2 linked regions of the Notamacropus eugenii genome follow. The protein of the gene in region 1 purifies or fractionates together with the protein of each later gene. This does not show direct contact. Links are inferred from orthologs where the notes say so. Each region holds a gene or a part of one and is shown on either strand. Other genes may lie near its edges.

Region 1 (7,012 bases):
ATGAATGCATCTCTAAGGACAAGAGACACTGTTGTCCGCAGCTGAGTGAGATCAGGGGTCTGAGTACTGCAAATTCCTGTTTATCCAATCTCCAGGGCTGGGCTGTCCTGGACTATGCCAGGTCAGACTTTGCTCTCTGTATTATAGGTCCTTTTTAAATATTTGACACCTTTTTTTCTGAAGAGGGAATCAAGATTTGAGAGGGAGGACTGAGAGATGCCAACAGGATCCTTGGGTTCCCCAGACTAAAAGAAAGGATTAATTGGTAAAATGTCATAGGGTACTAGTGGGGAAAGAAACTGAAGATGGGAAGGGAGCAGAAGGAAGAGATCATGATGTTTAGGGTTCAGCATAGGGACATCATTCTTGCTCAAAACCAAAGTACCTTTCCTTGGTACCACCCAAGGTAGGGGTGGAGAGGAGGCCAACCTCCTACAGAAGTTAGGGAGAATAAAGGAAATCTACCTTGTCCCGCATACTTGGTACCCTCAATTTGGGGCTTCCCTCTATCCTAATAATATAGGGTTGCTCATCCCTCTTCTTCCCACTTATAATTTCTGCAACTGTCTGAGTTGCTTAAAGGGTTTGAACATAGATAAAAGGGGGGTTGGCAGTAATTTTATTTGGAGGGAAAAGGGAAGAAAAAGGAGTCAACAAGTGGTATTTGGGACAGAGTGAGGATCTCTTGGGGAGATGAGGGCACTTTCAGGTATAGGAAGGAGCTCTCCCTGCTCAGGAGGAGCTGGAGTCGGGGGAGGAGGAGCAGAGTGACAGGGAGGCAGGGCTCCAGGGAGCATCAGGTAGATGGAGCTGCCAGAAAGGATGAAGGAGCCACAGACAAGGAAGGAAGCTTTAAAGTCACCTGTCATATCCCGGAGGAAACCTGTGGAACAGGAGAGAAGAGGCATGGGGAAATTAAAAACTTCTCTCCCCAAGGGAAAGTAGAAACTCGAGGTGGAGAGGGGAGGAAGGAAGGGACCAAATCATCCTATGTGCCTGACTTCCTTACCTGAAAGTGGTGGGCCCAAGAGGCCCCCCAGGCTCATCAGCATCATCACCAGTCCTGTGGCCTGCAAGATGTTCCCAAGCCCTACAAGACCAGGCAGGACACCAAATACCAGGGGAGCAAATGCACCTGCACTCATCCCGTAGGCTCCTGCTGCTGCCAGTAGGGTTCCCCCCCATCCTTCTTCTTCCTCTTTCACCAGCCCCACTGCCACCAACCCCAGTCCTGTCAGTGCCCCAGTCATGGCCAACAACCGTGGAAGAGGGATCCAGCCACGGTCTGCCAGACACCCTGAGATCAGTCGGGTTCCTGCATCCCCCACTGCTGCCCCAGCAACCACCAGAGCAGCCCCATATCCTCCAAGCCCAAGGTCCAGGGCATGGGGGGCAAGGTGCACATAGGGAATGAAGTAACCAGCCCCCACCAAGGTTGTCCCCAGTGAAAACACGGCAAAGGCAGGGTGGGTGAACAGGGTGAGACCAAGAGCATTGAGGGGACTAGGAGATGGGGTAGTAGGATCTCCAGAGAGAGCCAAAGGCCGGAGCAGGGCCCCACAGGGGGTGAGATGGAGGGTGGTGGCCCCAAGCAGGAGCAAGGCACCTCGCCAGCCAAAGGCATCAAGGAGGAGCTGCAGAACTGGGGCCAGGAGCAAGGAGGCCACCCCATTGCCTGTCAGGGCTAGCCCCACAGCCAGGACCCTGCGCCTGCAGAAGTATCGAGAGACGGTGCCCAGGGCTGGGGCAAACACCAGAGCCCAGCCAGAGCCTACAGAAAAGAGGGCAACTGAAGTCAATGACTCTGACCTTCCCTCCCCCAAGGAATGCAGGTACTGCACTTCCCTCCCTCTCCCACCTCACCCGCAAGGAGGCCAAGGCCAAGGTAGAGGTGCAGGAGGCTGCTGGCAAAAGCAGAGAGAATGAAGCCAAGGGAAGTGATGATACCTCCCACCATCACCACAGGACGTGCCCCCCAACGGGTACTCAGAGCACTGCCCACTGGGCCTGGGAGAGATGGGAATTAGAGTCAGTTCTAGCATGTCCCACTTATGTTTGTTTTCTGCCTTGCAAGGTTCCCTCACCTAACCATCCCTGTCCCCCCAAAAAACCCTATGGGACCCACCTTTCTGCTATGCTGCCACCCACTTTTGTCCTCTAGGCTAGTAGCTGGATTAGTTCTTTGGCCCTCTTCTTAGCTTTGCCCTGTGCTATATCTTCTGGGCTACCTTTTGATCCTTACTGAAGCCTTAAAAATCATCTTGTTCCCTTCCCCCCATCCCAGCTTGCTTAGGGCCCTCCTCACTGGCAGCCTGCTGCACAGCCAGAGCTATGGCGCTGACCCACGCAGTGTCCTGGGTACTTCGATCAAAGTACTCTGCGAAGGCAGGGAGGGCAAGGCCCAAAGAGCGGAGCAGCCCATAGGAGAGCCCGTTCACCACAAATGCAGACCCTGCCACCACCCAGCCCCAGCCCCCATCAGGGGGCCTGGCCAGTGAGGGAGACTTCTTCATCTGTTGGAACAGAAATACAGAAATGAGAAAACAAGAGCAGAGGAGGAAAAGGATCATAAGAACCCCATCACTCTCACCCCTCTCTCTGGCTTGGCTCCTCCTTAAAGACTAGGTTTTAGGATTTGCCTCCCTCCAGTCTTCCCATGGACAGAACACCCCTGTGGTCATAAGGAAAAGCCATTAAAGGAGCCTGGAGTGGATGAAGAGGGGCTACTAGAACCTTGGAACCAAATACCCAGCTCCTTTTGGTAGGAATGGGGAGATGAAGGAGTGATAGAGGAGAGATCTGGGTGCCAGGGAAGCCCTCCCCCAACAACACTCCATCTTTTAATCAATAACCTTCCTTCTCCCCTCACTTACCCTCAGCATTCTGTCTGTTTAGATGGGGAGGACAACGATGATCCTCTTCCCACTTCTGCCTGGAGGAGGTCAGAAGCCTGGCAAGGGAGAATAGCAATAGAACTGACGAGTGTTCTCTCTTTGTAAACAGAAGTTACCCTGAGGGACCAAGCCACCTGGGCAAAGAGGAGGAAGGAGAAGGTACAACAGAGTGGAGTGGGGATGGACCAGGGCTGCCAGCCAATCACAGGAGAAAAACAGGAAGTCTAGGAGTTGAGTCCCACGGTGATTGAATTACTTCTCTTGTAAGAGAGGGAAGTCCCTTCCAGTTTCTCATACATCCACTCACCTGCTCTTGTCTCAGCAAGAAAGAATACAGTGGTTTACAAAGCCCAGAATGCACCTTTGGTCCAGGAGCAGAAGTAGATTAATAAGACATTAGGCATAGCTAAGAATGATCTTAGAGGTAAGTGTCATGTAGTTTAACACTTTTATTATTTAAGAGGAGGAAACTGAGGCCGACTTGAAATATCACCATATCATTCTAACCTAAAAATCAGGTCTTTAAGTACCCACTGCCCAGCTCAGGAGTGGGTGAAGCAATTAACTTTATTGAGCTATTCCACTCAGAGCATTCTGTGTGAATGATGAAGTGGGCACAGATTATTAGTAAGGCAGAGGTACTGACTGTCTCTAAAGTTCCAATTCTGGAAATGCGCACAGAGAAGAAAGCATTATCTCATCACTCTTTGTACTGGAATACCTTTTCTCCACTCTCTAATATCCTTGTCCTCAAAACCCCTCCAGTCCCATTGCACCACGAATTTAGAAATTATTTAGTAGAACCTGCCTCCCAAACCCCTTGTCCAATTTATAGACAAGGAAATTTAACCCAGAGGAAAAGTGTCTTGGCCAGTTCCAGGGAACCACCTCCCCTTCTCCATCAAAAATTATCAACCCTTTCTTTAAAAAAAAAATTTCTTATTATGAACTTGACAAAAGTCAACAAACATGAACTTTCTTTAAACAATGAACAGATAAATGGAAGTATATGACCAAATCTCTATTACGTATACCTTGGTTTTTAAAAAAAGGATATATTAAGTTTAATTCAGTAATCCCCTCTTGGAACTTCTTTTAGCTCTCTTGTATGTTTTTAAATAAGTTTTTATTTTTATATTCTGTTTCTTCCATCACCATAGTATCCCAGGTATCCCTCTTCCTCCTCCTCCCAGAGAACCATTCCATGTGACAAATAGTACTTTTTGAAGAGGAAAAAAAATCAACACAGATCAATCCAAAATGTGAACAATGTGTAACACCAGTGGACTTAGCATCTCCACAAAGGGATAGAAATGTCTTTTCTTATCTCTTTGTTTGCATTCTGATTGAGCTTTATAATTTTATTATATTTACTCTTGATTTTTTGGTGTGTTGTTTTTCCATTTGCATTGTCATAATTGTTGTATAGATTGTTTCTTGGCTCTGCTTAATTCACTCTTCATCAGTTCACATAGGTCTTTCCATGCTTTTCTGTATTCATCACACACATCCTTTCTTATAGCACAGTAATATTCCATTACAGTAGTGCACCACAGTTTGTTTAGTCGTTCCCAAATGTTGTGCATCTACTTTATTTCCAATTCTTGGCTATCACAAAAAGTGCTGCTCTAAATATTTTGGAGTATATGGGGATTTTTTTCCCTTCTCAATGGCTTCCATGGGGTATAAGTTTACCACTGTTTCTCTGGTTCAAAAGATACAGGCATTTTTGCCACTTTATTTTCATAGATCCAAATTCTTTCAAAAATGGTTGTACCACTTCAAAGCTTCACCAACAGTGTATCAGTGTGCCTGTCTTTGGATAACTCCTCCAACACTTATTGTTGACGTTTTTGGTCATTTTTACCAATTTGCTGAGTAAGAGGTGAAACCTCAGGATTGTTTGGATTTGCAATTTTCTTTTTATTAGTGATTCAGAACATTTTTTTCATTTAGTTGTGAATAACTTGCAGTTCTTTTGAGAACTGTTTGTTTATGTTTATTCACCTACTGGAGAATGGCAATTAGTCTTACATATATTTATTGATTGATTATATATCTTGGATACCAAACCTTTATCAGAGAAATTTGATACAAAGATTTTTTTCCCCCATTTGACCACTTCCCTTCTTATCCTGGATGCATTAACATTGTGCAGAAGCTTTTTGGTTTCAAGTTTCCTCTTCTGCTGTAAACACAGTATTATATTCCTCCAGTTACTTTAATCTATTTTTAAGGAGGCCCTGTTCCCACTGGTTCTTTCATCCCTGATTCCCTGTTCTTGTTTGATACACTTTTCCCTTTAGGGTTTTGTTTATTAGTTCATTTTTCTGTCCTGCTTTTGTGTACTTATGTATTTCTTTCCCCCTCTCAATTAGAAAAAGATTCCCTCTTCCTCTCCTCCCCTTCAACTAATCCTGTTCCTTAGTTTTGAAATTTTGTTTTTGTGTCCCTTTTCATTTTTTTAAAATTTATTTATTTAACTTTTAACATTCATTTTCACAAAATTTTGGGTTCCAAATTTTCTCCCCACTCCAAACCACTGAGCATTCTGATTGCCCCTATTACCAATCTGCCCTCTCTTCTATCATCCTTCCCTTCCCTTGTCCCCGTGTTCTCTTTTGTCCTGTAGGGCCAGATAACTTTCTATACCCCATTACCTGTATTTCTTATTTCCTAGTGGCAAGAACAGTACTCAACAGTTGTTCCTAAAACTTTTGAGTTCCAACTTCTCTTCATCCCTCCCTCCCCACTGTGTCCCTTTTCAAAAAGAATTTCTCTCACTCTTTTCTCTCAAAATCAGCTACCACATTGATGGTAAATTCTTCAACTTGAAAAGGCTACAAGTCAAGATCCAGGTGGAGGGAGTGTTGGTGCATGGTTTTCTGTTTGCGGATGATTGTGCATTCGATACAGCCTCTGAAACTGACAGGCAACAAAGTTGTGCTTCTTGTGCTAATTTTGACCTAACAATTAACACCAAGAAAACACAGGTGCTCCATCAGCCACCACCACACCATTCATATGTGGAACCACATCAGTTACAGCAAATGGAGAAGTTTTGAATGCTATAAATAAGTTCACTTGCCTTGGTAGTGTACTTTCCAGGGATATACACATTGATAATGAGGTTGACACATTGTAATGAGGTTGACACATTGTCAGAGCTAGCTTAGTGTTTGGGAGGTTCTGAAGGAAAGTTTGGGAGAGAAGAGATATTAGACTGACTACCAAACTGAAGTCTACAGAGCCATTATGCTGACCTCATTGTTGCATTCCTGTGAAACCTGGACAGTCTGCCAGCAGCATTCCAGGAAACTGAATCACTTCCATTTAAATTGTTTTAGGAAGATTCTGAAGATCACATGGCAGGATAAGGAACCAGACACTGAGCTCCTTACTCAAACTAAACTGCCAAGCATTCAAACTCTTCTTCAGAGAGGGCAATTCCAATGGGCTGGCCATGTTGTTCAAATGCATATGTTTTATATGCTTGCCAAAAAAGACTGTTTTATAGAGAACTCACACAGGGCAGGCATGGTGGTCAGAAGAAGCGATACAAGGACTCTCAACGTCTCTCTCAAGAACTTTGGAACTGATTGTGTGACAAGGAAGACAGGTCTGCTGTGTAAATTTATAGTATCCACAGGCTGTACAAATTTAAAGTATCCACCCAAAATGTCCACATGGACTATTTGTGTCTGACCTGTATTCCGAGTTTCTATAGGTCTGATCAGCCATAGTTGGACACATTGAAACTTGACTCTAGCATAGTGATGTCATTTTGGTCCTCTTTGAGAAGGAAGTACAACAACCAACCAATCATTATCCATCTTCTCTCTTTGTTTACTCTAGACCCTATAATTATCTGGTCTCTCTCTTTTTTCTGTATTCTTCATAAAATCAAAGCTTCCAAGGTATCCATTCTAGGCTCTCTCCTTTGGGTGCTTTCTACCACTGCCTTGTAGGGCTTACCCCATGGATTCCCCCTTTCTATTGTGTCTCACTCATAGAACAGTGACAATTATTGCAAGTGTCAGAGAGGACACTGCCCTATGGTAGAGCCCTTCCCCCATCAAACCCCTGATTATGAAGTCTGCCACTGATATGCCTTCTCT
Region 2 (7,117 bases), on another chromosome or scaffold:
CTGTTCTGTATACAGTGTTCTTTTTAATATTTTATTTTTTTCCAACAACATGGAAAAATAATTTTAACATTCTTTTTTTGTTAAGTTTGAGTTCCAAATTCTCTCCTTTCTTCCCTCTCCTCCCTCCTCCCTGAGATGGCAAGCAATTTGATATAGATTATACATGTGCACTCATGCAAAATATATTTCCATACTAGCCATGTTTTGAAAGAAAACTTAGACCCCCCCCTGTAACCTCCCCCCAAAAAACAACAAAAATAAAGTCTAAAAAATATATGTTGTGATCTGCTTTTAGACTCTATCAGTTCTTTCTCTGGAGGTGGGCAGCATTTTTCATCATAAATCCTTTGGAATTGTCTTAGATCATCATAGTTGACCACTGTACAATATTGCTGTTACTGTGTACAGTGTTCTCCTGATTTGCCTCACTGCACTTTTCGTTAGGTCATGTAAGTCTTTCCAGGTTTTTTCTGAAGCATCCTGATCATTATTATAGCACAATAGTATTCTATCACAACTTGTTCAGCCCCTTCCCAATCGATGGAGATCCCTTCAATTTCCAATCCAATCCTTTGCCACCACAAAAAGAGCTATTATAGATATTTTTGCACATATAAGTCCTTTTCCTTTTTCAAAAAAACTTTCTTTGGGATACAAACCTAGCAGTAATATTGGTAGTTCAAAGGATATATAAAGTGTTTTAGTCCTTTGGGCACAGTTACAAATTGCTCTTTAGAATGGTTAAATCAGTTCACAATTCCCCCAGCAATGCATTAGTGTTCCAATTTTCCCTCCAACATTTGTCATTTTCTTTTTCTGTCATATAGCCAATTTGATAGGTATGAAGTGGTACCTTAGAGCTTTATAAATTTACATTTCTCTAATGAATAGTGATTTAAATCATTTTTTCATATAACTAAAAATAGCTTTAATTACTTCATCTGAAAACTGCCGATTCATATCCTTTGACCATTTATCAGTTGAGTAATGATGGGCATCCTTATAAATTTAACTCAGTTCTCTACATAATTGAGTAACAAGTGCTCTATCAAAGAAACTTGCTGTGAAAAGTTTTTCCCAGTTTTCTACTTTTCTTCTAATTTTAACTGCATTGATTTTGCTTATACAAAACCTTTTCATTTTAATATAATCAATCTATATATAGTGTTGACCACGTCCCAGGTTTCACTTTATGCCTCTCTGTACCAAATCAGGTCTCTTTCCTTGCTAGCAGTCAGTAACTTATATAATTGCTTCTTGTAATTTTCATCCAAATCAGAAAGCTTCCTTTTTTAAAAGCCCATTTCAAGCTATCTTTCCAGATTCCTTATATGTTATTTTTTCCTGCAATCTTTAGATCCCACTAAAGTGCTTTTTTCCATATACCTCAATCACAACAGTTCCTCTTCTATCTCTAGGCTTTCACATTTATGTCCCTTATGCCTATAACACAGTTCCTTCCTCATCTCTGCCTCACACAATCCCTCTCTTCTATCAAAATGCATCTAAAGCACCACTTTTTTCACTTGAAACCTTTCCTGATTATCCCAACAACCGTGCTTCTTCACCACCCCCAATCTGTACTTATTCTCTTTACATTTATTCCACATGTGTAGGGGGTGTGTGTCAAGGATAGCGATTTTTTTTCCTTCCCTATGTTTTTAGTTCCACTGCCTAGTACGGTGGAATATAATAGGTTCTTAGTACCTATATATGCTTGTCGATGGATTGACTGACTACCAATCCCTAATGTGGCAATCCAAAAAGCAGAATCACCTATGTCTGCAATGTCTGTAGCCCTCTTACAAGGAAGAGACAAAAAAATAAATCTTTGTTTGATGCATGACATGGTGAGTAATAATGCAAAGCACTGGGGGTCAGGATGTCTGAATTCTAGTTTTAGCTGTGCCACTTAAGAAGGTATGTGATCCTGGATACGTCCTATAACATCTCTAGGAGCTGGCTACCTTGTGTGTAAGATGAGATGGTTGGATTAACTGATCTTGCAGGTCCTTGCCAACTCTATCATTCTTTGAATTCAGAAATAGTTCTGAACCTCAGTAATTTGAGAAGTTCTCATCTACTGTAATTGAAAGATTACCCAATATTGTACAAAAGTCTTATACACTAATGAGGCCTGCTCCATGGAAAATTCACACAGGTATCTAGTTCAGTTCTCTGTGTGGAACGAAATATTCTGCTGACATAAAACAACTAGGGTTCATTTGGGTTTTTTATCAAAACTATTTGTAGTTATCTCTAGTACCTGACACTGTTTGTGTGCTAGAGTACTCCTGCTATGGGGCAGCTAGGTGATACAGTGGATAGAGCACTAGTGCAGGAGTCAGGAGGATCTGAGTTCAAATCTCACCTCAGTCACTTGACACTCACTAGCTGTGTGACCTTGGGAAAGTCACAACCCCAATTGCCTCATCCTGGGTCATCTCCAGTCATCCTGATGAATATCTAGTCACTGAATTCAGATGGCTCTGGAGGAGAAGTGAGGCTGGTGACCTGCACAGCTCTACCTCACTCAAAACAAAGTTAAGTGAAAGTCATGTCATTTCTCTGATGGCATGGTCTTCTTCAGCAACGAAGGACGAACACAACAACTCCTGCTATACATTTGCTTCAGGTTACATATTCGGTCCATTTTAATGCCACAAAAATGGTTCTTTGTATCTCATGAACGCTGTTCAACTTATGGACTGAAATCCCTGAAACTTTCAAAATATTTACAAATTTTTCTGCATTACATGTCATGTAATTAGACTTGGCTATGAATGATCACATACCTGCAAAATGAAATAATCCAAAAATTAAAGAAGTCTTCAGGATATAAATGTTTAACTTGTGAATGTCTTGTCTATATATGGAATTGGCTACCATGACATAAGTCTTGCTTCAAGTCCCTCTCCACCAAGTAGGGACCCTTCCTTGTTGCAAATCAGTAAATATAGCTTTTTTTCTTATAATTGCCACTGCAAGTCAGATACCTTCCTTTTTCACTCTCTAAGATGACTGAGAAAGCTGGCATAGACGTGCTATTATGACTATAAAAAAAAGGAGAGATGTTCTCAGAATTCAGAGTTAGAACTTAGAACACTTGTCTCTGTGGACACAATATGATGAAACAGAGTTGGTTTAGAGTTTACAATTCTGTTGCTACTATAGATCTCATGTGTTGTGAGTGAAATAGGTTTTTATGGACCAGCTTAGGAAACTTACATCACTTATGACCCTTTTTTTTTTACTATGGAAAAACATATTTGAAGTCCCAAATACCTCACTTCGGATCAATCCAAAATGTATTTATCAAATTTCTATTTTGTGAAAAGCACTGTACTTTCCTTACAACAAACCTGTGAGGTAACCAATGATAATAGTGTTAACCTCATTTTAGAGAAGAGGAAACTGTGACTCAGAGACATAAAGTATCATGCCAAGGGCCCCAGAGTTAGGAAGTATTGTAGACAATATTTGAGCCCAAGAATCATGATTCCCAATCTAGCATTCTCCATTATATCAGACCATTGTTAAAAACTGGTTGGGTAGAGTGCTTTTTTGTTTGGTTTTTGAGGGGGAGATTGTTGCTTGTCTAAGAGACTTGGAGAATATAACACAATACCATGAAAAGTGGTATATACAATTGGCATATATTCAGGAAGTGAAAAGTACTCATTTCCTGAAAAGAAGTTTGATCCATACTTCTGTTTTTTCCTCAGCAAATCTGAGGATCTGTCTTGCTGATGCCCTTTACTGACTTTGCCTTGTCTTACTCCTCAAGCCCTTTTGTGGTTTGAGGTTTCTCTAGTTTTTCCAGCTCTCCATGACTACTACACTTGCCCCTCCAAGGTCATTAACTTCATTACAGGCCATCACCAGTCATCCTGACTTTTAACTTCAATGACTCAGGAAGAGCAACTCTCCTTCACTTAAATCCAGTTCAAGTATGAGTCAAGATATCACTCCATGATGTCATCGGTCCTCTTTGAAAACAGAGCAAGATAACAGCAACAAAAACAGCAGCGGTAGCAGCAGCTGCAATTTCAAAATGTGGAAGAACCTCTTAATTGGTAACTCACAAGATTCCTACATTTCTAAAATTATAAATTGTAAAGCCAATGATAATCTCCATGGGTAAAAGAAGTTTATGCTCCCTGTGCCCCCAAAAGTCTGATCTCTTTTTAACTTATTCAAAGACATCAAGTCATTTTGACCAAATCTAGCACCCTACTAAAAGGTTTACATGTATAAGTATATGTCTATATCTATATGAATATGTATATGTGTGTGTGTATATATATATATATATATATATAAAATTGCTTTGACTTGAAACTAGTAAAGATGTTCTTAGAGAGGGGGTAGAGTCAAGATGGCAGAGTAGAAAGACACACGTATGTTGGCTTTCCCTCCACAGCCATAAAATATCTGTAAAAAAAGACTCTCAACAAATTCTAGAGCAACAGAAGCCACAGAACAACAGAGTGGAGGAAATTTCCAGCCCAGGGTGACCTGAAAGGCCAATAGGAAATGTCTGTCACACTGGACGCAGAGTGGAGCCCAGCCCAGCCTTGGCTGGCTCAGCATGGCACAACTCTAGGAGGACATGAACAGGGCTTGGGGGTGGAATCTCCAGTCGCAGTAGCAGTGGTTCACAGATCCTTCAACCCACAGGTGCCAAAGGTCAGTGAGAGGGTTTTTTCAGCTGGCCAAGAAGGGAGAAGGACCTTCCCATAGCTCCAACTTCAGGCTGCAACCTTCAGAGACCTCATCGGGCAGGCAGTAGCAGTTCCCATAGCAGCCCCTACAGCAGCCCGCATGTGTTGTTGGATTGTAAAACCCCTGGGGGTGCTGAACAGCTGATTTTTACCTCAACTCTGTATAAAGGCCCTGTGGCAGATCTTTATCGCTCATTAAATGGCAGCCCTGCCCCCACATCTTATCTGAATCTCAGCCCCCAATGCTGTCTTGGTGGCACTGGAGGTGAGGTGGTTGTGAAGAGGAAACTCTGCTAAGATTCTAGACACAAAAATCTCCCCCTACTCCCAGACCAGTGTACATGCTTGATTGTGCCACTTGGGAGGAACTGAGATCTTACAGATCACCAGAGTATACCCTGCTCTTGACAAAAGACCCAAAAGTCAAGTAACTGGTTGGGAGAATGCCCAAAAAAGGGGAAAAAAATAAAACTATAGAAGGTTACTTTCTTGGTGAAGAGATATCTTCTCCCATCCTTTTGGATGAGGAAGAACAATGCTTACCCTCAGGGAAAGACATAAAAGTCAAGGCTTCTGTATCCCAAACATCGAAAATAAATATTCAATGGTCTCAGGGCATGGAAGAGCTCAAAAAGGATTTTGAAAATCAAGTTAGAGAGGTGGAGGAAAAATTGGGAAGAGAAATGAGAGAGATGCAAAAAAAGCACGAAAAGCAGGTCAACACCTTGCTAAAGGAGACCCAAAAAAATGCTGAAGAAAATAACACCTTTAAAAACAGTCTAACTCAACTGGCAAAAGAAGTTCAAAAAGCTAATGAGGAGAAGAATGCTTTCAAAAGCAGAATTAGCCAGATGGAAAAGGCAGTTCAAAAGCTCACTAAAGAAAATAGTTCTTTCAAAATTAGAATGGAACAGATGGAGGCTAATGACTTTATGAGAAATCAAGAAATCACAAAACAAAACCAAAAGAATGAAAAAATGGAAGATAATGGGGAATATGTCACTGGAAAAACAACTGACCTGGAAAATAGATCCAGGAGAGACAATTTAAAAATTAAGGGACTACTTGAAAGCCATAATCATAAAAAGAGCCTAGATATCATTTTTCATGAAATTATCAAGGAAAACTGCCCTGAGATTCTAGAACCAGAGGGCAAAATAAATATTGAAAGAATCCACCAATCACCTCCTGAAAGAGATCCAAAAAAAGAAACCTCTAGGAACATTGTAGCCAAATTCTAGAGTTCCCAGGTCAAGGAGAAAATATTGCAAGCAGCTAGAAAGAAACAATTCAAGTAATGTCGAAATACAATCAGGATAACACAAGATCTAGCAGCTTCTACATTAATGGATTGAAGGGTGTGGAATATGATATTCCAGAAGTCAAAGGAACTAGTATTAAAATCAAGAATTACCTTCCCAGAAAAACTGAGTATAATACTTCAGGGGAAAAAATAGTCTTTCAATAAAATAGAGGACTTTCAAACATTCTTGATGAAAAGAATAGAGCTGAAAAGAAAATTTGACTTTCAAACACAAGAATCAAGGGAAGTATGAAAAGGTAAACAGGAAAGAGAAATCATAAGGGACTTACTAAAATTGAACTATTTACATTCCTACATGGAAAGATAATATTTGTAACTCTTGAAACTTTTTTCAGTATCTGGGTAGTTGGTGAGATTACACATACTCACACACACACACACACACACACACACACAGATAGCACAGGGTAAGTCAAATAGGATGGGATCACATCTTAAAAAAATGAAATTAAAGGGTGAGAGAAATATATTGGGAGGAGAAAGGGAGAAATGGAATGGGGCAAATTATCTCATAAAAGAGGCAAGTAAAAGACTTTTCAGTGGAGGTAAAAAGGGGGGAGGTGAGAGAAAATGAAGCTTACTCTCATTACATTCGACTAAAGGAAGGAATAAAATGCACACTCATTTTGGTATGAAAACCTATCTTACAATACAGGGAAGTGGGGGAGAAGTAGATAAGCAGGGTAGGGGGTATGATGGAAGGGAGGACAATGAGTGAAGGGAGCAATTAGAAGTCAACATTCTTGGGGAGGGACAGGGTCAAAATAGAGAGTAGAAGAAATAGGGGGCAGGATAGGATGTAGGGAAATATAGTTAGTCTTACACAACATGACTATTATGGAAGTCATTTGCAAAACTACACAGATATGGCCTATATTGAATTACTTGCCTTCCCAGTGGGGGTTGGTGAGGAGGGAGGGATGAAGAGAAGTTGGAACTCAAAGTTTTAGAAACAACTGTTGAGTATTGTTCTTACACACAACTAGGAAATGAGATATACAGGTAATGGCGTATAGAAATTTATCTTGCCCTACAGGACAAAAGAGAAGATGGGGATAAGGGAAGGGAG

What was found.
Region 2: the proteins of SLC16A11 (region 1) and EMB purify together in Homo sapiens (co-immunoprecipitation; 3 studies listed by BioGRID and IntAct, counting the BioPlex papers as one, with this or other methods). This does not show direct contact. The link is inferred for Notamacropus eugenii from reciprocal best matches to the Homo sapiens genes SLC16A11 and EMB.

The regions. Positions count from the first base shown.
Region 1 is NC_092873.1:78,938,134-78,945,145, reverse strand, and holds SLC16A11 (monocarboxylate transporter 11), read right to left. Parts: upstream 2,571-7,012; coding exon 2,306-2,570; intron 2,008-2,305; coding exon 1,864-2,007; intron 1,772-1,863; coding exon 1,010-1,771; intron 884-1,009; coding exon 651-883; 3' UTR 606-650; downstream 1-605. UniProt on the Homo sapiens protein: Proton-linked monocarboxylate transporter. It catalyzes the transport of pyruvate across the plasma membrane.
Region 2 is NC_092875.1:413,021,267-413,028,383, reverse strand, and holds the start of EMB (embigin), read right to left. Parts: upstream 3,038-7,117; 5' UTR 2,890-3,037; coding exon 2,796-2,889; intron 1-2,795. UniProt on the Homo sapiens protein: Plays a role in the outgrowth of motoneurons and in the formation of neuromuscular junctions.